Linked DNA regions of Struthio camelus. The protein of the gene in region 2 purifies or fractionates together with the protein of the main gene of each other region. This does not show direct contact. Links are inferred from orthologs where the notes say so. Each region holds a gene or a part of one and is shown on either strand. Other genes may lie near its edges.

The links.
Region 1: the proteins of BACH2 (region 2) and MAFK purify together in Homo sapiens (co-immunoprecipitation; 3 studies listed by BioGRID and IntAct, with this or other methods). This does not show direct contact. The link is inferred for Struthio camelus from reciprocal best matches to the Homo sapiens genes BACH2 and MAFK.

Annotation. Positions count from the first base shown.
Region 1 is NC_090956.1:6,854,938-6,865,446, reverse strand, and holds the start of MAFK (transcription factor MafK), read left to right. Parts: upstream 1-4,503; 5' UTR 4,504-4,863; coding exon 4,864-4,951; exon of another isoform or gene 4,952-4,961; coding exon of another isoform or gene 4,962-4,977; intron 4,978-5,758; exon of another isoform or gene 5,759-5,996; intron 5,997-6,962; coding exon 6,963-7,042; intron 7,043-8,240; coding exon 8,241-8,675; 3' UTR 8,676-10,509. UniProt on the Homo sapiens protein: Since they lack a putative transactivation domain, the small Mafs behave as transcriptional repressors when they dimerize among themselves.
Region 2 is NC_090944.1:50,515,426-50,526,441, reverse strand, and holds the start of BACH2 (transcription regulator protein BACH2), read left to right. Parts: upstream 1-4,038; 5' UTR 4,039-4,114; coding exon 4,115-4,135; intron 4,136-4,830; exon of another isoform or gene 4,831-4,896; intron 4,897-5,125; exon of another isoform or gene 5,126-5,140; coding exon of another isoform or gene 5,141-5,152; intron 5,153-11,016. UniProt on the Homo sapiens protein: Transcriptional regulator that acts as a repressor or activator. Binds to Maf recognition elements (MARE). Plays an important role in coordinating transcription activation and repression by MAFK.

The DNA of each region.
Region 1 (10,509 bases), on a different chromosome or scaffold from region 2:
GGCCATGAGATCTCAAATTAGGAACCAACCCCCTTTGGGCAAAGTTATGTTACAGAAAATGGAAAGGCCTCCGTTTTCGTTTTCATCTGGCCGTCCCCTCCTTTCCTAGCTTGGTCCTAAAGCCAAACTGGGACTGGAAAGAGAGGCAGAGTGCTTAGGAAGAAACTGATCCTGTCTACAAGATGGAAAGCTGCATGCCTTTTGTTGTGTTTTGAGTCCCCGTGAGCCTTGTCTGTAGAAAAGCATAACCCGGCACCCCAGCCTGGCCAGCGCGTTCCAGTGTGGCACTGTCATGGCTTAGTAGCAAATTAATTTACCTTGTTATTTTCGCACTGATGAAACCGGCGCTCGTTCGTCTGCTCTTTCTCTCTCCTTCCGTGTATACACTGTAATGCAGAGAAACCTTCCTCGTGCAGTCACTTCCTAAATGTGATGGACACTATTGTTGTCCAATGGCAGTGCGCAGCACTGGCAGGACTGAGCGGCAGGAGAATTAACTCTATTTGTACCTGAAAGAGGTGCTGGATGGCAATTTGGAAGATGTTATTAATGAGGAGATTGCTGCAAGGTTGGGGCACGTGGTGACTTTCGTTAGCACGACGTTCTGCCAGTCTTTGCCGGCTCTCAACTTGTCGAGGCTTTGCACTTGAGTCTTACTGCGTTAAATGTTCTTGGCTATATTAGGGCAAGCTCTAGCCCTGCTTTGAAAGTATTTCTAAGCCCGAGACGGAAATTCGCTAGCTTTTTTTGCTCGCCTGTCCAGGACAGCGTGCTTTGTCATGTTTTAGCTCATTTCTGTGCCTTTGCCCTTCTTGGCAATCTGTTGCAGCAAGGAGTTTGCAATGACTGTGTGCCTTCTGAAAGAATAAAAATACAGATCAGCTCGATGCACTCGTATTTCCATCAACGTTGAAAAATGATTAACGATGTGGAACGCGACTGCAGAATTTGATATTGAAAATTTCTAGCTGTGTTCGATGTTTGGGAATCGGAGAGAGGACAGCTGGGAGTGCTGGCCCCCGCGGCAGTTAGGGTTTGTGGGATAAGCTCACGCTGATCATTTTTGTAAACATCCAGCTGTGAAGTACTTGAGCAGCGCTAGCACTTTCAATTATCAGGAAGTTTCAGGCTCAGCACCCTGTTGAGATGAACAGGCAGTTTCCACTTCTGTCTGAGCTATTGTTTCAGGCTATCTTCAAACTCGGGCAGAGAGTCTTCCAAGCATGAAGCAAGCACAAAGCAATGCAGCACTGGGTGACTGTGAAGACGAGGAGGGGGGGAGGAGGGAGGCGGTAATGAAAGCAATTACCCTACTGCTAAGCTCTGAAGTGGAGGGACAGATTGCATTGCAAATCCCACTGCTTTGCAATATTACAGGACCCTGAATAGCAATGCTGTTATGTTCCATTATTAGCAATCAGGGAAGATGTCTGACTTAATGGCTGGCACGTGGGATCAGGACCAGTGAAGTCAGGAATCCTGATCCCAGTTCTGCTCCTAGATCTGAGGGTTATTGGTCGCTCTGTGGCTCAGCTTCCCTTTTTGAGGGAGAATGCATCTCCAGGCTAGTGATGCTGAGACCTAATTCTGGTGTAGCTCTGTCACTGTGTTCTATAAGGGCATACTGGAAAGAAGTGCTATATGCTGTGCCTCAGCTGTATCAGAACTGTCTCTAGCATACCTTTCCCCTTCAGCCAGCACCTCCCCAGAAATCCAGGGTTTCTGATGTGACACACAAGTGTACCCTCCTGTATCCTCTGCTCTCCAACCACAGGCTCTCTGCAGCATCTGTCTAGGTTGTTTACCAAACCACTGAAGACTGTCTGATCTCTGTCCAGGCTTCCCCAGAGAGTGCCTCAGAGAGCTGTGTCCTGGCAGCTCTCAAGTTCGGTCTGAAGGTTCCTGAATCTGTTCTTTGCTGCTGGATGCTGGTTCCGATCCATAAGGGAAATGGAAAGCTGGCCAGCTGGGCGAGGGCTGTGTGTAGCTCCTCTAGAACAGTAAACAGTGACTCACCCCCTCCTCTGTGTCTTCTCTCTGTTCGTGTCAAATACATTGCCTTGCATATGCTTCTACTCTCTGATTCACACCATCAGCCTGTCCCTCCCCTCTCTTATTACAAATGAATGACAAGCGTCAGTCTGTCTTTCAGGATGAGCGATGATTGTTAGAGCAGGAAAATGGTCTTTGAATGATGGGAGAGGGATGGTGCTCTGCATACCATGCTGCAATGTGTTGGAAATCCATGTCATGCCTCTGAGGGACAGAGGCACAGAGATCAAGATTTGAGCATCTGTAGTTCCCTTCACCTGTCAGATCTGACGTTATTCTTGGTAAGCATATTCATTTGGCTAGCTTCAGGAGTTGGGAATAACTTGTGGATAAACTAGAAATTTAGGCAACTTACTAAAACAGCTGCTGGGGAATTATACTCCTGCATTTGGGAAAGTCTGAGTAGAATATTCCCTGCATACATGGCTGTGCCGAATTAAGACTTGATGGCTGATATCCTCTCACTGCTTAAAACCGTAGGCTGTGTTTTTACCCTTTAGAAGTCGTTGCTGGCCTGGCTCAAGGTGAGAGTTGCATGTTTTCAGTTTGCTGTACTTGTCTGAGGATGGAAGCTCAATACCAGTAGGGCTGTCTGCCAGATACTTATGTTCTGGCCAGGCTTGTCTTTTGATATAGAATAGATTTTAAAATTTGAGTTCATCCACGGCTGTTGGGTGTTAGAAATGACTTTACAGTAAATCCTTAATGTGTAATGTGCTCTGAGAGCCCTGTAGCATAGAAAATCATTCTGGCATTTCTTTTTTTTTTTTTTTTTTTTAATTGCAAATTTTACGTAAGGTTCTGTCCTGCCTCAGAGCACTGGTCAGATTTTCTTTCCTCTTTCCTCTCGAGGCAAAGGAATTGGGGATCACTAGATGGATTAAGTTGAGACCATCAGACAAGAGGTCAGCCTGAGAACACCAAGTTTTTAGAAAGGTGCTGTGAATGACTTAGGAGTCGTCTTGGAGAGGGTGAGGGCGTTGGCAAGACTATCAGTGGATAACTTTATTGTAGAATTACAAGGGCTCTTTGTGTAACCTACAGTCAAAACATTTGTTTTAAGTACAAGCACAGAGCCGAACTGTGAAAGCCTTTGCCCCTTACTGTTGGTATATTACTACTCACTGTTTTATTTATGTAGCATCCTAAGTGTGTCATACTGCTTACAGAATAAAGATGTAATGCAGTCCTTGTTCCAAAAAGCTTAGCTCCTAATTTTAGACGTGATGCAGCAAATGCAATTAAGAAAAGAAGGGCAGAAATAGGGTAAAGACTAAAAGGGTTCTAGTAATCAAATCAGAGTTAGCGTCCCAGAAGACCCTTGTGTAGCATGTTTAGGGGGCACCGCTGAATATGGCAAGTTTGCAGTATTATTTACTACTTTATCATGGGGTTTTGCCTTCTGTCTGTGGGAAGCGCCCTGCCAATTATATTTACTTCTAGTTGGTAACCGAATAGTCCTAAATAGTACTGACAGAAAGGATTGTACAGCTGAGAGACGGAGTCAACTTTTAAGTAAGCTGACCGAGGCCACGCGGGATTGTCAGCGAGGATTTGCAAGTGGTGGTGTATCAGTTTTGCGTTAAGCTCAGACCACGCCTGCAGGTTCACCTAGTGCAGAGGTAAGCCTCACCCTGGCATTCACGTTTGAGTGAGGAACTTAAGCCCATTTGAAGCATTCCTGCTTGCACTACCAAATTCTGCCCCTAAGAGTGGGGGTGACCCCCATCCCGCTCGCATGTGAAGATGGCCAGACATCGTAATTACTGGTGGTGGCTTAAATTCCTTCCTCGTGTCTGTGCCAGGAAGGGCTCTGGCATCTCGCCCCAATGCAATAGGATTGATCCCAACCCGTTTTAGAGGGAAGCCAGTCTGTTTAGAGCGCTTCGATATGCAAGGAAAGCAATACGTAAAGCACAAGACCCCTGTTAATTCGGGTACCAACCGTGCACTCGTACCAAATGTGAAGGAGTCTGTGTTGTCCGCGGAGGAATGTGCAGTGTAAGGAGATGTTGCTTTGGCGACACAGAGCAACAGGTGACCAGAAGTGGATTCATCACGTGGAGTCGGAGCAGCTTATTAACGCGGCGGCAGCGGCGTTGCTTTGGGTGGCAGGCGAGCCCAGACAGTGACCCCCACCGGAGGGAATCTCAACCCTCGGCACTTGTTTTCCACAATATTTTACGTTTCTTTCCATCTCTGTGCAGCCAAGCGGTCTGTTCAGTTTTTCCATCGGCTGGTGTAGAAAGTGCTTTGAAGACACATTGGGTGAGGATCAAAAGGCTTTTTGTGTAATCAGTGGGTGTGACCGGTCTGTCCTCGGCCTCCCCCTCCTTTTTGACTTTCCTTTTCCGGTTTAACTGCGCGAAGTGCCGCCAGTGGGACTGTAGTGTGCCCCTTTCCTTGTAGGGATGGGGGTGGCGAGGGAGGGGGGATGCCGGGGGAAGGAAGAGTTTCTGATGCTGTGGGAATGTGAGCTCTCAAACTCTGTAAACAGCTGGTGACTCACTGCATAACTATGGCACCAACTGCCTGCAAGGCCCGCGGCGCTGTGCGTGTGTAGGGAGGGGGCTGCAGGCCGTTTCCTTTACGCACTGGCAGCGCTCTGCTCTCCTTAGCTTGCTGGGACCGTTTGGCCAAGACAACGAGCTTTTCCTTCCTCCTTTGTGCTAGTGCGTGCGTTTGTGTGTGCTTCTGGCTTGGAGGTAGGGGCGGGCGGTGAATACCAAGTGTGAAGGGGAAGCAATGGAGAGGAGGACGGTGAAAGGGCAGCGCTGAGATCTGAAAAGGCGCCCGTCTGCGTGCGCTCTCATGGGAGAGCGTTTCTGTCTGCCATCGACTCCAGTGCGAGATACGCAGTTTTGCAGCAGCCAGAGGTCAGAGGTGGCCTCTCCCTTCGGTAACTGAGGATGCTTTCGTGGGCAGGTGGGGGCTGTGCTAACAGCGAGGGACTGGGTTTTGCGCTGGGTGCTCTCCTTCCCTCTGCCAAGCCTGCTCCTGCTGCCGTGGTGGAGGCAAGGGCTCCTGGAAGTGGGCCCAGGGTGGGGTTTGATACTGGAGGAGGGATGGGAAGGACTCTGTGTGATGCTCTAGAAAATGCAGCGCACACCAGTTGCTGTAAGTGGTCCATTCATCACAAAGCATCTTGGCTGGTGTGCTGTGCGGCTGTCCTTGTCCCTCCTCCAGCAGGCATGGAAAGCTGTGCTGTCTCAGGCTTAAAAATAGAGGAGGTGCCTAAATACACACCCTAATATCTAGGATAGTATCTTGTAGCTTCGCATTTATGGGATTTGTTTTTTTTTTCCCCCTCTTTATCCTGATTTTTCTGCAAGTCATATGACAATGAGGTGTCTTGACTGATAAAATTCAAGCGAGAGCAACGCAAGCTGAGCCAGCACCTTTACCCGCATGGCTCTCTGTTGTTCCCACACCCCACCTTTGTCCCCCCCCCCCCCACCCCCCAAGTCCCTCCACCCCTTGTTTGCAGATATGAATGAGTTTGTTTACTCTCTGACGACCTCGTGATGTCTTTGCACAGACATGACCTGAAGTCATTATTGCTTTTGGGCTTCTCTGTTTCCATGGTGACTGTCTCAGGGTTGGCTACTTTCCCAAGGTCACCATGGCAACTATCAGAAGGGAATCATGCTTGGGATGCTTTGGCTGGATTTTTCATGAATGATTAGAATGTGTGACACGATGCAGACGTGGGAATGGGGAGGGTGTGGGGTGGGGTGGGGGGAGAGGACTCCCGCCAGACAGGCTGTGCGCTCTGCAGTGCCACTGGGTGTGCAGCCCTTGAAGCCGCCACGGCTGTGCGTAGGGGGCACCGGCGTGGTGTGGGAGCCAGTGCCTCGCGCCCTCCCTGCAGGGGTAGCCGAGATGCTGGGGGAGCGATAAGCAGAGGCTGTGATGGAGTCACAGCTGCAGTCGTCTCTCTCGTGGTAGGTACCTGACAGACAGCAGCGCTGCCAGGCTCATCCTTGGCACTTCGGTGGGGTGAAGATTTCGGATGGAGGTCTAGGCAGGTAGATTTTCTCCAAAGCGCTGGTCGAAGGGGTGTAGTTGCCAGCTAAGGTGAGAGTGAAGGGCAGCGTCTCGACAGAGGACGGTCTGTCTGTCGGTGGACATGCCTCCACGTCACAAGAAATATCAGGCAGGCTAGCTCTAGCAGCCTGTGGGCTGAGAGGATCATGAAGCAACAGCCTTGGTGTGCTGGGAGAGGCAAACACCTGCCTTGCTTTGTTATCTGGGGGCTTTCGTTTCTGCTGTTCGGGTTTTCTAGTAGCGTCTCTTTTGGGTGGGGATGGCTGTGAAAGCAGGTTACAAACTAGGCAGCTTATTTCTGGGCTGCTGATTCAATTTGAGGCTAGGTTAATAATAATCAAAATAAGAATGAAGGGAGTTGTTGTCTTGTGGCTTTTCAATGCCCTTTATGAGCAGAGGTAAGTCTTAATTCAGTCCCTAATAGACCATTCTGTGTGTCTGGGATTCCTCCAGAAGGAGATGAACAACTGATTGGGCCTGGGAGGCTGAACTCTGCTCTCCCCCTCAGAAGAGGTGGCATGTTGCAAGGTAGTATGCAGTTATTAGCATAACTGTTGTTTACAGGCAGGAGCAAGTACCCTTTTTGCCCTCCCAGTCCCATCTTCCTTGCTTGATCTTGGTGTACTTAAAAACAAAATATTAGATATTTAGCATTAAAAAGCAGGGCACTTGTCAATGCACGTTTCCCCTTCTTTCTGAAGGGGGTAAACTAATCTCTGAATCCTTCCCAGGATTTTAAACAGTTGTGTGATGTTTCTTTCAATGATGCTTTAGAGTTGGGGATTTGGAGTGTGTGTTGGTATCGTTTTCCTACTGTTATCTCTGAGATTATGATAACCTGAAAATCTTGTTTTGTTTTTCAGTTGCAATTTCTGAGCAGTTCTGTCCAGAAGACTGTGCTCAGGTTATGACGACTAATCCCAAACCGAACAAGGCATTAAAGGTAGGGAGAAAGGCTGAGTGGGTGATGCTGGGTGGCAGGGGAAGGTGTCAAGGAACCATATTCCATGTGAAGACTGTCACATGTGTTCCCCCCCCCCCCCCCCCCCCTTTGGAGAGACTCTTGCAAATGGGTGCCAATATAATTTCTCACTATCTACAGGAAAGTTCTTGAGAAGATAGGATAGAGAAATACTGGTGATATCTAGAAAGAAGTCTGGCGAGTATGGGATTGCATCAAGGCTAGAGTATCCCAGTTGTTACCCAAGAGACTTTTGACTATAACAAGTATTGGCAGCATCCTGAAACCAATGCTCCCAGGCCTGAGAGTACGTTACTTTCGCTCTCAGAATTGAGATGAACTGGAGCAAGGAAGTTTCAAGCTGTTTTCTCACAGGTCCGTGGGACAGTAAACATCTGGGACACACCTGCTTTATGGCTGTCCCTGCACACTTTGTTCATGCTTTGTTCAGATTTCTTTCTGGTATCTTGGCTTTTCGTTCTAGGTATTCTGCAATCTCTGAAGAGACAAAAAAAAGATGTCTTAAAGGTTCTAAAAATAATTGTGGCAGCAGAGATCCATAAGAAAAAGGCACAATCCCTTGGGGTCTCTCGCATACAACTTCCCTGGACTGTGCTCCAGAAAACCAAAATCATGTTGTGGTCCTGTAAGGCAAGCAGGGTTGGTTTCGGTCAGTGCTTGGATGAGCATCTTCAACAAAAAGCCACCAGATGTTTAATTAAACCTTGCGTGCAAGTGGCTGTTCTGTTTTTGGGAGTGCCAAGGTGTTCCAGTATATAATGAGCATATGAGGTGTCCCAGCATGATGCTGAGAAAAGGTGTCATTTTTAGGATTCATTTCCATGTCCTGACACAGGAACGCAGGGCATTTCAGTCCGCTTTTATCTCCTTCAAAATCTTACTATTTCCTCTGTCTGTCAGTTCAAACTGGATGCATAAGGCTGATTGCTTTTCCAACTTAAGAGGGTTACCCAAAGCCAGGAGATACAGTGTTCAGGTCCCTGCCGTGTTCTACGCAGCTGTGGCTACGCTCTAGTGGAGCATGTGGTCTGTAAAGTGCTTTGGGGGCTTTTTCCAGGTAGGGGGGTTATGTTGCTGAGGGGTACCCTATCTCCTTTATCCGCCCAGAATAGCTGCTCGTATAGCATTGCTGCTACCCCTGTACTGTTGGTATTTGCAGGTAAAGGAGGAGTCAGGAGAGAATGCCCCAGTGCTGAGTGATGATGAACTCGTGTCAATGTCCGTACGGGAGCTGAACCAGCACCTGAGGGGTCTCACCAAAGAGGAAGTCATCCGCCTGAAGCAGCGGAGACGCACGCTGAAGAACAGGGGCTACGCTGCCAGCTGCCGCATCAAGCGTGTGACTCAGAAGGAGGAGCTAGAGAGGCAGCGGGTTGAGTTGCAGCAAGAGGTGGAGAAGTTGGCCAGAGAAAACAGCAGCATGAAGCTAGAGCTGGACGCCTTGCGCTCCAAGTACGAAGCACTCCAGACCTTTGCTCGTACTGTGGCGCGAGGGCCTATTACCCCGACCAAAGTTGCCACCACCAGTGTCATCACCATCGTGAAATCAGCTGAAATCTCATCCAGTTCTGTGCCGTTTTCAGCAGCATCCTAGTGCCCTCGGTGGGGGAACTAGCAGCCTTTCAGAGGGGAGGGGAAAAGGCTCTTATGCATTGTTCCAGAGTCCTTGGTCACGTCAAGAATTGGCATTTTAACAGTTCTCTTCCAAAAGTGCAAAAAAGGAAAAAAAAATAAAAAGGAAAAAAGAAGAAAAAAAAAAAAAGAAAAAATAATCTACAAAGGGAACTTAACTGGCTGCTTCTCTCTGGACTCGGTGGCTCCATCAACCTCGTGTCCAGGATTTGAGCTCTGTATGCAGTACAAATAGCAAGATCTGCTTCCTCCTTCCCCCTGCCTCCCCAACCCCTTCTAGGCCGTGGGCAGCTTTCCAGCTGGGAGAAGATACCTGAGAAGCCTCTGGAGTCCTTGTGAATGATGCTCAAGAGCCAGGAAACAGCTGGACCATAGAAATCATCATGTGAGATGAATATATGGAAAAGAGTTTCCTTTAGTGGCATTCTACTCCCTGTAAGAAAGGTCTCCCCTCCCCTCCCCTCCCGACTTCCATCTGCTGTTGTGAGGGCAGAGAAATAGGCTTTTTGAAGTGAATTTCATCCTGCCGTGAATGGAGTGGGAGAATAATGGAGACTAATGCTTGGATCTGACCACACCCATTAGGAATAACCTTTTGTTTTCAATCCATTGCTGTTAAAATATGGAAAAATATATATTTTACATATTTTAATACGCCCCATCACCTGTGTGGCCTATGAAGACTACATTGCAGCCTCCTTTATTCCAGACCAAGTTCCCCAATAGCTCCTTCCCTAAGGTGTGCCTGTGAATTGGGTATATTTATGCAGTTTATTTCTTCCGAATGATCCGCAGTCTTGAAGTAGCAGCTTTTTTTTTTTTTTTTTTTTTTCTGGGTTCCCTGAAGCTTAAGGGAAGGAGGCACAGTAAATGCTGTGAAGAGCTGTGTGATGGGGAGGAGAAGGGGAGACAAGGAGGAAAACTGCTGGAAGTATTCTTAGAAGGAGGCAGAACTGACTGCAAGAAGGTAGAACTGTTCTGCTGGGATCAGCACTATGATAAGGGATTTATACAGAGTATTTTAGAAAGATGTTTTTAAAGCACTGAAGTGTAACTAGAGGGCAATGGCATAAAGACAGGAAGAGAGAAGTTGTAGAGCCTCCTCTTTGACAAAAGCATTGGTAGGTAAGCAATGACTATCCCAGCTGGAGAGCCAGGCTCACCAGTCTTTGATGACCAGAGAGGGGCTGTGAGGTGGTTGGATGGGAGTTGTAAGAGCTTTTCCTCTCTGTAGTGTTTCAGGCACTGAAGTTGGGATCCAAAGAGTACAGTGTACAACCCTCAGTGTTCAGACAACCTGTGTGAATGTGACCCTGAAACTTGACACTTTCTCTTGGGCATCTGTGAATTATCCCAAGAGATGCACAGAGGGCAGGATGAAAATCAGTGTGCATAGGGGATGGTAAAATTGGGATCGAGAATTCGTGCATATGGCTCTGAGCAGTGGTTTAGAAGAGGGATTTCTGGCTCAGCAATGGGCAGGAAGTGGGAAGCCAAAAGGAGAGATTCTGCTGTTCTGCAACAGCACTGAAAAGACGAATGTTTCCAGGTCACTGTAAAAATAGCTCTGTTGGTGTTTGTGTGTTTTGTTTTGTTTTTTTTTTCTTTTTGAAGTAGGAAAGAAAAGGGATTGAGAGTTTTGCAGGGCAGGTCAGAAACTTGTGGAATAGACGATGCCTGTTGTCACACAGGTGAGAAGAGAATGAGATTGCTGAAGTTTAAGATGAGAAGAGCTTAGAGGATTTGGGCTCTAGAATAGAAAACAGAGATCACAAAATTCACATTTGTTTTGGACT
Region 2 (11,016 bases):
AGATGGGGCTTTGACCAGACGCTGCTGCTATCGCTGTGTCCCCGGGCAAAAACCGGGACAGGGCCCGGCAGCTGCCCTGCCGGCAGCACGGGGGAGCTGGACCGCGCTCCGAGCTGCAGTTGCAGCGCTGTGTTCCCGTTTTTGGCTTTGTCTCGCCGCTGTTCCTTTTCCTTTAAAAGCGGCAAAAATAACGCACCAATCAAGGGCATTCTGAGGACAGTAAATTGTCTTAATTTGTGCTGCTTGTGCACAGACTGTGTGGAGAATTCAGCAAGAGCCTTTAAGTAAGTGCTCTCTTCCAAAAAGCCCCCAAAACTTGAACTCAGAAAGCCTCTGCACACGACATCAATATTCTCTAGGTATGGGTTCTTCACAATTTCTTTTTGTAAGATTTCTTTAACTCTGTCCTGCTACCGTCTGTAGGCAGATGTAAATAATGTAAAATTTTAAGATGCAGATTTTGATGATTAGATGTCTGTCATCCGCCTACTACCACAGACTGGGAAAAAAATGTGTCTTTTTATAAATCTGCACCCAAAGGTCAGGAAACTTGATTGGATTAATGAGGAAACCAGATCTCTGAAGGTCAAGTCCCATCCCTTTGAACATCTACTTACCAAACACTTGGGTCTCTTCTTACCAAATCCAGTCCAACCGCTCCCAAGTGCCATGGTCATAGCTAAGGAGACGGGTGTTTTTATGCTGCTGAGCAGACAGCACTGGATTTTAATTTGAGATGTGGCCACATCTGCCACAAAATCTCAATTAAAAAAAAAAAAAAGTCCCATTCTCATGTGGTGCTTTCTGTGTTTTCTGTGCGTTAACTGCAGAACTGCTTGTCCTGCGAAATTTCAGGCTTGCTTTCCGAGAGGTGCACGCATCTGACTTATCACCAGTATTTGGCAGGAATGCAGTGAAGATAGGAAGGGGAGGCAGTTGCTCGGTTCTGGGTACAAACACTGCTGGTATCTTGGTCGTGCGAGTGAGGTATTCCTACGGGACATCAAGTATTTTATTTAAATGGGGCCATAGTCCTAGCAAAGGGCTGCCACCTGTCCAGAAATGCTTTCCTATGGATGAGAAACTTCTTTTTGTGCAGAGTTTTGCCCTCTGTCTTTTTAAGAGCTTCATATTGGCATATATCACTGTAGCATTTAGGTGATTTCCATGTCACATTGGTAGCCACAGCGATGCTACCTGATGGACGTCATGATTTCTCTGGTACGTTTCCTTGCTTGGAGATTGGGAACCTGCTAGTGGCCTTTCTGAGCGTTGGTGGTAAAGTCCAAGGTGTGACACAAGTCAGTGGAAAGCGTTATTTTTAGGATAGAAAAGGGGTTTTTTGCCCGTGTTATGGTACTGACATGGCATATCATTGAGCTAGCAGTAGGCTGGAGAAGGCACACTGCTCTGCCCACCAGCTCTGAGTAGGGTTGTGCACCCAATGTACCATCACTAACACGTTCAGCTTAAAATCTCCCATGGTGGGGTTGGGGGGGGGGGTCCATAACCTCCCACGGCAGCCAGGGCCTCGATCTTAAAATAGCCAGGAAGATTTTTCCTATGCTCTAAAGCAAATTTTCTTCGCTGCTAATTAATTGGGTTGCTTCTGCTGCCCGCCGCTGAGAGTACATAGGACCACTGATTGCTGCCGCCGTCACTGTGGCAATCTCTCTCTGTAATCAGGTGCTCCCCAGCGCTGCCCGTGTCTCCATACCCAAGGCAGGGCTAACCCAAAGCTTGGGGGCCTGAACGCTGCTTTTGATAAGTATTTGCTGCAGCATTATCTGTCGATTGGAAAACTGTATTTATACGTACACATACGTGTATATGTATGCACACGCATTATGTATATTTTTAGAACAAATATATTCAGTAGAGTCTGGAAAACGTTAGGTGTAACCTCATGCACGATTATTGTGTGCGCGCACACGTGTATGCAGTGAGCAGACATCCCTGTCTGAGGGTTTCTAAGCAATAGTTTCTAACCGCGGCCAAGGCGTCTCTGCCCGCAGATGGGCAGCGACGGCTCTTCCTGCCACCAGGAGAGGCTGGTTGCAAGGGCTTCGTGACACGAACAGACAGCACTCTGGCTGCACGGAGCAGATCCTTCCCTCTAATTTTGTCCCCCGCACTCAAATAATTGGAATTTCTGTGCTGTATTTAGTTGTTAGGTCTGAGGAGGACGGTGTTGTCTGTTCTAATACGCTACAACATACAAAACGGCATTATTCTGACACCTCTTCCCTTCCTGCCATTAATCAAATGTTTGTTTATCACTTCAAAGGTGTGAAGCGCTCTGTAGGTGTGAGGTATTATTGATCTATTTACTCCGTGCTTTCCACGTGACTGGGATGTTGTGGCGAGGATTTTATTTTTGCTGTTGCAGGTGACAGCCTGCGTGTGTGTGTCAGCCCGAGCGACTGAGTCACAGCCCACCGCCCGGGGCTGGTAACACTTCCTCTTACCATAGGGAATGAGATAACAAGCGTTTCCCCGTAGGTGGAGGGGGACAGCACCTTGGCGAGGCTGAAGTTTCCCACAGAAGAGCTTACCTGCTGGCAGTTCGCATTTATTAAGAAAATACCGAGCGATGGTGACAGGGTAATCTAACTTTCTCTCTAACCCAAACCAGTGAAAAGTAAAATCCATCTCACCGCATCAGTTTTGTTTTCACTGCTGTTTAAATCTATCCTTTCCTTCTGGCAGAGCTCTGCACAGTCATTTAGTACCAGCTTTGGGGGTGGTGTGGTTGTTAGCTCAGTGGTGTATGACCCATTTTTTTCGTAATACCTGCACCTTTACAGCATACATCACACGTTCACTCCTGCGACCTAAATCATCGCCAGAGAAGCGTTGTGTCTGATTTCAGGCGTCCTGCGTAAAGTGCCGTGCCTTCGGAGCAGCTGGCGCTGCCTCGGGCTGCGGGTTGGCTGCTGGGAGAGGATGGGCCGCGCTGTCTAGCTGGCGATTAGTGAGCGAGTGCAGGTAAAAGCACGTTTTTCTGGAGCTGACACTTGGTCTGAATTATTTTGTTAAATTTTAATTGCAAGCTTACGGCACGTGTTTCCTGTTATGATTTCTGAAGAGTTCAGAAGAGGGAGTGTTGTAATGGATGCTTTACCCTCTATAATACTTGCGTTTTCAGAGGCGGCAAGATAATTAATGACGGCAGATTGTTAACTCTCCTTTCCCCCCCCCATCCCCAGATGTGGCTTCACCTGTACTTTTCTTTAGTCTGCTCTTAAGACAGGCATGTTTCTTTATTTCTCTTTTCATCAGTTAATTGGGTTCACTTTCTGCAGCGTTTCAGATGGTAATTAGGTTCATACTTGTGTTGCTTTGCAGAGTGCTTGGTGTAAACAGAAAGAATCAGGCACGGGAGACATAGATAAACTAGCGTTGTAGTAGGTGCGGGAGTTTTATGTTTAAAATTAAAAAGTAATTTGCAAAGCAAGTTGAGGTAAAGTGGATTTAAACATAATGAAATCATCCTTGACAGCAATTTGTTTCAAGTTCTTCTACTATTATGAGTGTAAAGGGATTTTTTTTTTTAATTGCCAGTTTCTGGGTAGAGTATTCAGCATAATTTCTCACAGGTAAGTGAAGCATTAACTCCTTATACATCACTAATTTAGGGAGCAGGGGGAGAAACCGAGAGTTAGGGAGATGCATCTCCACCGTTTCATCATTTGAAAATTCATCAGTGGTTAGCCAGCTTAGAGAAGAAGTCCACCGGATAACTGAGAGCAAATAATTAATTAAATGCGTGAAAATCCAACATGATACCTGACCCAGTAGATATGCCGCGTGTATGAATATCTGTGTCGTTGATGCTTAACAGGATCTGATGAAACTCCAAGTACAAATTGGAAAAAAGTAACAGCATTTAGCTAGTTTGCATCCCTTGTTCACATGAGCCATGAGTTCTGGGTTTTTTGCATTTATATACTTGCGCTGTAGGTGTTGGAAGTGTGGGTGGCCAAAAAAAAGCGGTGGTTACAATAAGATTTTCCATTTATTGCCCTTTGTGTACAACTAAAAATAAGATTCAAATGCTTCACAATTTGTAGAGCAAGCATAATCGTTCTGTTAGCTCTGATGACTGGCTTACATGCAGCTTCATCTCTATCTGGTAAGTCCTGTGCTGAATACTTGTAAATGTGTCTGTGTTGAGATGAAAGACAGAGTTTACTTGCAGTGTTGTCTAGCTATGTTAATTTATCAGCTTTTTCTTATCTAAGAAAAAAAAAGGAGTTAAGCTTAGTCCATAAGTAAGAAGTGGTGATGAAAGAAATTTGGAAACGGAGTTGTTCTGGTATCTGGAAGAAGCGGCTTTAGAGAGGACTCAAAGTTCTTTAAAACCAGCCCTCCAAAATCGCCCTTATGTAACTTGAACTGTTGATCCAGAACTTAATCTTTTGGCCAAAAAAAAAAAAAAAAAAGGAGCGGGGAGGAAATCTGTACAAATCTGCTGAGCATCAAGAAACAAAATTCTCAGTGTTAATTTTTGGCATGCAAAACCTTTTCAGTTTGGTTTTTAGGGTGCCAGTCTTGAAATATGCTGTCTTGGTGGCTTTTCCAGGTAGTCACACCGGTTAGGAATCTGCTAAATTAGTTGAAATATATTGAGCTGCTAAAACGGTTATGACCACATTAATTGGTATGTCTCCTGTGGCCAAGAGAAACATTAAAGAGAAGATGTTGTCAGCATATGCAGGGAAATTCATAACTGTATGGTCTAAGGTTTGGTGCTCTCCCTGCTTCACTCATTAAGTAGTTGTGGCATTTCCAGAGAACGAGCGTGGCTGTGCATTTCAAGCTTCTCGATTTGATGCAATTCTTGTAATGGATGAGTAGAGAGAAGGCATCTCTTCAAGAGCTGCAGAACCGAAGGTACAGACGCTGAAAACTTGTTTTCCGTTGTGCGTCAGCTTGTACTGCACGGCCTTCTTGTCACTCTGTGACCCTTCCAGGTTTTTCCAGGCGTTGTAGTGTGGCAGCAGGGTTCGTTTGTTTGACTGGAGCACGCGGCTAAATAAGACGATAGGTTTTCATTCTGAATAACTCCATGCGGCGCGGAGGATGTGGTATATGGGAGGCACGTAGAGGCACATGCAGTTGTTCCGTGGGAATATTGATGCTGGCTGTGGTGAGTTTTTTATTATGCAATAAGAAATGCCATTAAATTTCCTTAATGCAAACCTCTCCCTCTTCTTAGGAGGAGAACACTGTGAGCGCCGTTACTACCACCTTACTCTTACCGCCTCCTTTATGCCTTTTTGCTTAAATGCGTGTTTCTGTTTTAACATCTGTGCACATGCCTGAGACCAGCTGCTGATAAAAAGTATAAAAGGCAAGAGAGCTAATGCAGTAATCAAGGTTTTAAATATTTCAGGTGGGAATGGGCTAAACTTCAGAAATAATTAGCTTCCATGGTGGTGGTTTCTGCAGGGAATTGCCTTACATCTGTTATAATTATCTGCACGTCTCAATCCTTTAGGTGACCAGATGCTGACAGGCAGTGTAGACATTTTTTTCCTGTGGAATTTTCCCTTTTTGATACAGATGTAGATTTTTTTCCCCCTACTTTCTACTGCTGCGCCTGACGCAGATGAGTTCAAACGTGATTGCTTTGAAGATAACACCAGGAGAGTGTGTGTCATGTGGCAAGCACACTCATGCTCCTTTCACTGTTTCTACACTTTCCAATTGGATGAGACAGTATTTTCTTTTCCGGGGGTATCACCACACAGGCTATTTTTAGAGGTGGCGCACAGGGCACGTTGTACAACTATCGATAAACGCTGCAGTCGTCTTAAATTTTTTCCTTATATGGTGATAACATTTGTGAAGTGTTCACCCTTTCTTTAAGAGGTAGATGGATCTCTTTTTGATTGTTCTTAAGCACTTAAACAGCTGCTGCGTATACAGCGTATGTCTGTGTTTTCTGTACGCTGTTCGAAGTGAAACGTAGGCACCAGATTAGGATTTGTATAAGAGACCGAAGCAATGTGATTGAGGTTTGCAGCTGTAGAGCTCTAGTTCACCTGTTGGATTGCAGAGCGGACTGTCTGTCTGCTCCCTTGGGAAACCCTGAGCTTGGTTTTTAACTTGCCTTTCCTGCAGCACGCAGTCTGCAGTCAGACGTTTTTACAGTTGTCGTAAACTCTTTGTACGGCTCTTAGTTTCGGGCATGCCCAGCTAAAATCAAGGAGAAGCGGCTTCCAGCACATAAAGGCTGCCTTTGACCGGCCAGCTCGGCTATTGTGGCACCCTGCGATGTGCGGGAGCTCCTAGGGAAAAGCAGGAGCTGGGGAGGTAGCGGATGATGTTCAGCCCACGATGCCCTCCCCACGCGCTCACCGGGAATGGGGAATGCTTAGAAACTCAGCGCAGCCTTACAATGCCATCGGATCCTGACATAGCAGTTAATTGTTAGCCTATGCCGTTTATGTGCTGGAGGAGCAGAAATGGCCAGTCGTGGGCTCATTATTGCATTATTCGAATAATACAAAAACATTAGCAATGGAGATTTACTACAATGGTGTATTTTAAGTGCATCTCTGCTCTGCCAGTTTCGCTTCTAATGCACTCAGTTAAGGAATGCTTTGGAGGTTATTGCTAATGGATGAATCTTCCGGAAAATTGGAATTTTCAAATAAGATTGACATTTGGAGTGAGAAATACAAATCTAATGAGAGTATTTCAGCAGAGGTTTGTAATTAGGAATGAATGGAGTAAATTTGTACGCGCAGTCTGCAGAAGGGCACAATGGAAGGTGAAATTGCACACTCTGCAGTGAATGAGGGATGAAAGCCAATGTATCAGTGTCATGGCATGACAGTGTCGAGTATAAATGATACTGTCACTGAGTGCTGCAGAAGGTATCAAGGGAATTCCACTCCAGTAAATTGCATTACTTAGACAGACCTGAAGGCATTGTGCCTGAATGATTGGAGGGAAAAAAGGTTGTCAGCACAAAGCAGAAGATATTATAGAACAACTGGCTGCAGGCTTGGAAATCAGTGTTTTTCTATGTTTACCATGCAAAGCTCCTCAGCTGCTTTTTAAGTTTTTGGTTGGATTACAGATGTATTGATGACGCAACAGTATTTTTCCAGAAGTTGTTCAGAGCAGATACCGTCCTGCAGCATGGATTGAGCATGCACAGCCCCCAGTACTCAGGTAGGAACTGGGACTCCTCCAGACTTGGGTAAAAATCTAGTCACATGTACCTCAGGCAGTGATCCATTTCTTCATTTGGCTGAGGATTTGGTTATGGGATGATTTTAGCAGAGGTGTGTACGGAGGGGTGGGTTGCTACCCCCCATTCTCATTAGCGCTGCTTGGAGGTGATGCATTGCCAGCTGGGAAGCCTGATCTGGGGCTCTATGCCTCCAGCTGGATTGGGATGAGCCACACCAGATGGTGGGACACGAACGTTGTTCTCTCTGATCCCGTTTGAAGGCACTTCAGACAGCATGGCAAGGCTTGTGGTATGGCTCACTAGGAGCGTTACGTCATGGTGATGGTGCAGCAAAAGTCCAAAGACCTCATCCATTTCAGCACAGGTGCATACCTCCAGCTATTTTGCTCTTCATCCACCCTTTCTCAGGTAAAACCCACTGCTAATTCCACCTGTTTTCCTGCAACCGCAGCGATGATGCTGAGTGGAAGAGTTATTTCTCACTCTTTTCTCTGTAGTCACCTGTTGCATCTGTCCTCTCAGGGGCAGTACCTCAGAGGTTGGTGAGAGCTGCTGTTTGGGCTTACCTGCTTTTCTGTCTCTGACCTTACATGCATACAACGCCTTCTAGCTCCTGTCGTTTCATAGCTTCCTTGTAGGTGAGGCAGTTCAGCTCCCGCAGTTCTCCCAAACTGCCCCTTCTTGACAGGCCTCTTAAGATAACAGCAGCTTCTCCCCGAAGACGACATGTTTCATTTCTGCAGCATATGAAAAGCCCCACCTGCCTTGGGGCTTCTAATAACACTTCAGCAGGCTTTGTACTGCTTAAAAACATCTTTTTCCACTTGCCTACGCATGAAAACCATCACTGAATATGCATGCTGTAAATAGTGGTTTGGAAGCATGCTTGATTTCTCCTCTCCAAAACTCTTAGGAGCTTGTAACTTCTGATTCGCAGCATTCACAAAAGGTAGGATGATAGACATGCAGCACAAACAAAAGAGCAGTCATCAGGGTAGGTTTTTTCACCTGTAAATACTGCTTCAAGGTGTGGGAACGTTTGCTGGGTAATATGGCCAAACTGAAGCGCACTTCTTCTGGGAAGTTTGCGGTTCGGAGAAGAACCTTGAAAAAAGTTAATAGGTATTCAAGTTAAATTTGATCCTTTCTTTCTTTATTTCAGTGACATGAAAATATTTGTAGAGTCATTCATCGCCTCATCCAAAGGAGCAGGGCAGAATTCGTTATTAAAAGTAATTCAGTGATTCGGGAATTTGTCTCTTCTAACACTATTTGACTATTTGTGATAATAAACAGTCTAAAGAGCAAGTTTTCCAAATCTGTAAGGGCCCATCTTCCTCTGAATACAGGGCTCCGTCGTTGCCGCCTCTCTCTGTAAACCATAGCAAACCTACAGGCCAGATTAAAAAGGAGTGAGGCACCTGTGGAAAAGAAGGTGCCCCACATGGATTTAGCAATGGAGCAATTTATTAGGGGGCCCTGAACATAGCAAAAAGTGAGTGGGAGGTAGCAAACTGTAATTCGTATGTGGTCTGAGCGTTTCCCACATTAGAACTGGGCTAGAGTGGCGTAACAGGTAGCATTATGTCTTGTCTGTCTGGATAGAAAGTAGAGTTGATATCTAAAGGATATAAGGCTTATCCTGCCTGTGTCCTTAGACCATCATTGCTACAGGAAACCACTGTGACTGGTTAAGCGCCCATTCATAGTGCTTGCAGCTATGCAGGCTGTTTCTTACTGTGTTGATCTGTACATATTTTTAAAAATCTGCCATCATTTGCTTCTCTTGTGGTATCTTAACTCCAGAAAGCTGCCTTTTTGGCACATCCTTTTTTTTTCCTGTTTGGAAAGCAAATGCTTTTTCTAATACTCGGTCTCATTCTAGTGATCATGATCTAGCCACGTCTTGAAAGTACGGCTCTGTGTTGTCATCCATCAATCCATAGAAAAAACATTTGCTCTTGCTTTCTTGGCTACGTGTATGTTGTTGTTTTCCCCTTTCTGCACTGATCCTGCAGCATGAGCACCTGCATGCAGCACCTGTGAAGTCACTGGGGTCACTCAGGTGAGTAATGGATGCAAGACCGGACTTTAAAGGCTGCAAAATACTGTTACTACAAGAGGGGGGTAGGGTGGAAGAAAGAATGACCAAACTCTATGCCTTAGGGAAAAATGAGAGGCTAACCAGCATTGCTTTAACCAAGAGCGATGTTGAGCATGTTCAATCAGATTTGTGTCCCTTGGCAAATTTATTTTGTTCTGTAAATGGCTCCCTGCTGTCCCAGAAGACTATTGCTATCTCTTCCTACCTTGTGTAATGGATTTCTAAATAACCACTCTTAGTGCAAGAAAGTAGTGGTTCAGTAACCCGAGCTTGCTAGCAAGTCAGTAGGTGAGTCTTAAGTCTCCTTACTAGCACTTTTGATAAGGCAGGACTATAAAGTTTGTCATAGCAGAAACTTCTCTATAGGCTCTTGATTTGCTTGCCAAAAAGTTAGCCCATTACCGTTAATTCTCCTCTTATCATTAGTGTTATTAAACTGACGATTGATGTGTAAAAACTGCCATTTGCATGAAGTTCCCAAAACTGCAGTAAAAGAGACTTTTGTTCTGACTTGGTAAGGGGAAGGGGGGAGAAAAAGCAAAATAACACTACTCCTAACAGCAGAGATGTTCATATAAAGACATGTTCTGAACAATAAGGTCGTTTATCCATGTATGACATAAATACATAGGAATTTAAATAATGAGAGATCTTGTGAAATGCAGTAAAATGCACACCACTGGTATTGTGAAGTTCCCATCTATAAAGCCCTATTCTCAGGGAAAAGCAGCTTTACTTTTGCTTTGAAAATCCATTATGATAAGCCATTTTTTTAAAACACTTGTCTCACTGCAATATTAAAGCAATTTTATACCGTAAGAGCAGGTCTTCCGTAAGCTGATGTGCAGTCTCGTGTGTGTATATGTAATTGCAGCTTATAGTACTTCTCACAATCCTAATTTCTCCCAAATTAAGAAAACCACTCACCTTTTTAGGCTTTTCTTTTCGTAATTTTTTTTTTTGTCTCCCTGTTTTTTCCCCCCGAAAAGGTCCTTTCTGAAAAACACTCTTTTTTACTAAAAAAAAGGCACAGAATGCTTTCTGGATTCATTGCAAAATACTCTTTAAAGGAAGCATTTTAAGAGTTTAGGTTAAAAAGTTTCTGTCTCACTCAAACTGCATGGGTGACGTTACTATTTTGGGAGGCAGTGCCATCTGCTTGTTAAACCAAAAAGCTGGGAAGATGTTCTCAGTTCTAGCATAGACTTTTGGTTTGATTCCACATAAAATTCCTTATTGATCTTTCCTTGTTTTTGTCCCATCTATAAACTGGGGACAGTATGCCCCCCTTACCTCTGCAGTTCTCAGAGATCCTAAAGGAAAGGTGTTGAGGTCATCGCACATGATACGTGGGTATACGAGGTTCTTCACATGTGCTGTATGGTATACTGAAGTCCTCCCTGCAGGTGTTCACAGTTGTAAGAGCTACCAAGAGGAGAAAAAGAGGGCATCGTAGCACAGGACACTTGGCATACCGCGGGTGGCTCCTACTCTTGGATGGAGGAGAGCAGTGTTGAGGGAGGGTGTAGGGAGGCTTGGTTGTATTTTGCAGCTTTTTGTTGGAGGGATGGGTTTTTTGTTTGCTTTTTTTAAAAAAAAAAGAGGAGGAGGAGGAGGAGGTTTTCCTGGATCACAGACCAACTCTCAGCTTGTTCCAGTGCAAGGGTTACTGAAAGACATGAGCTAGAGGGGACTTGTAGGA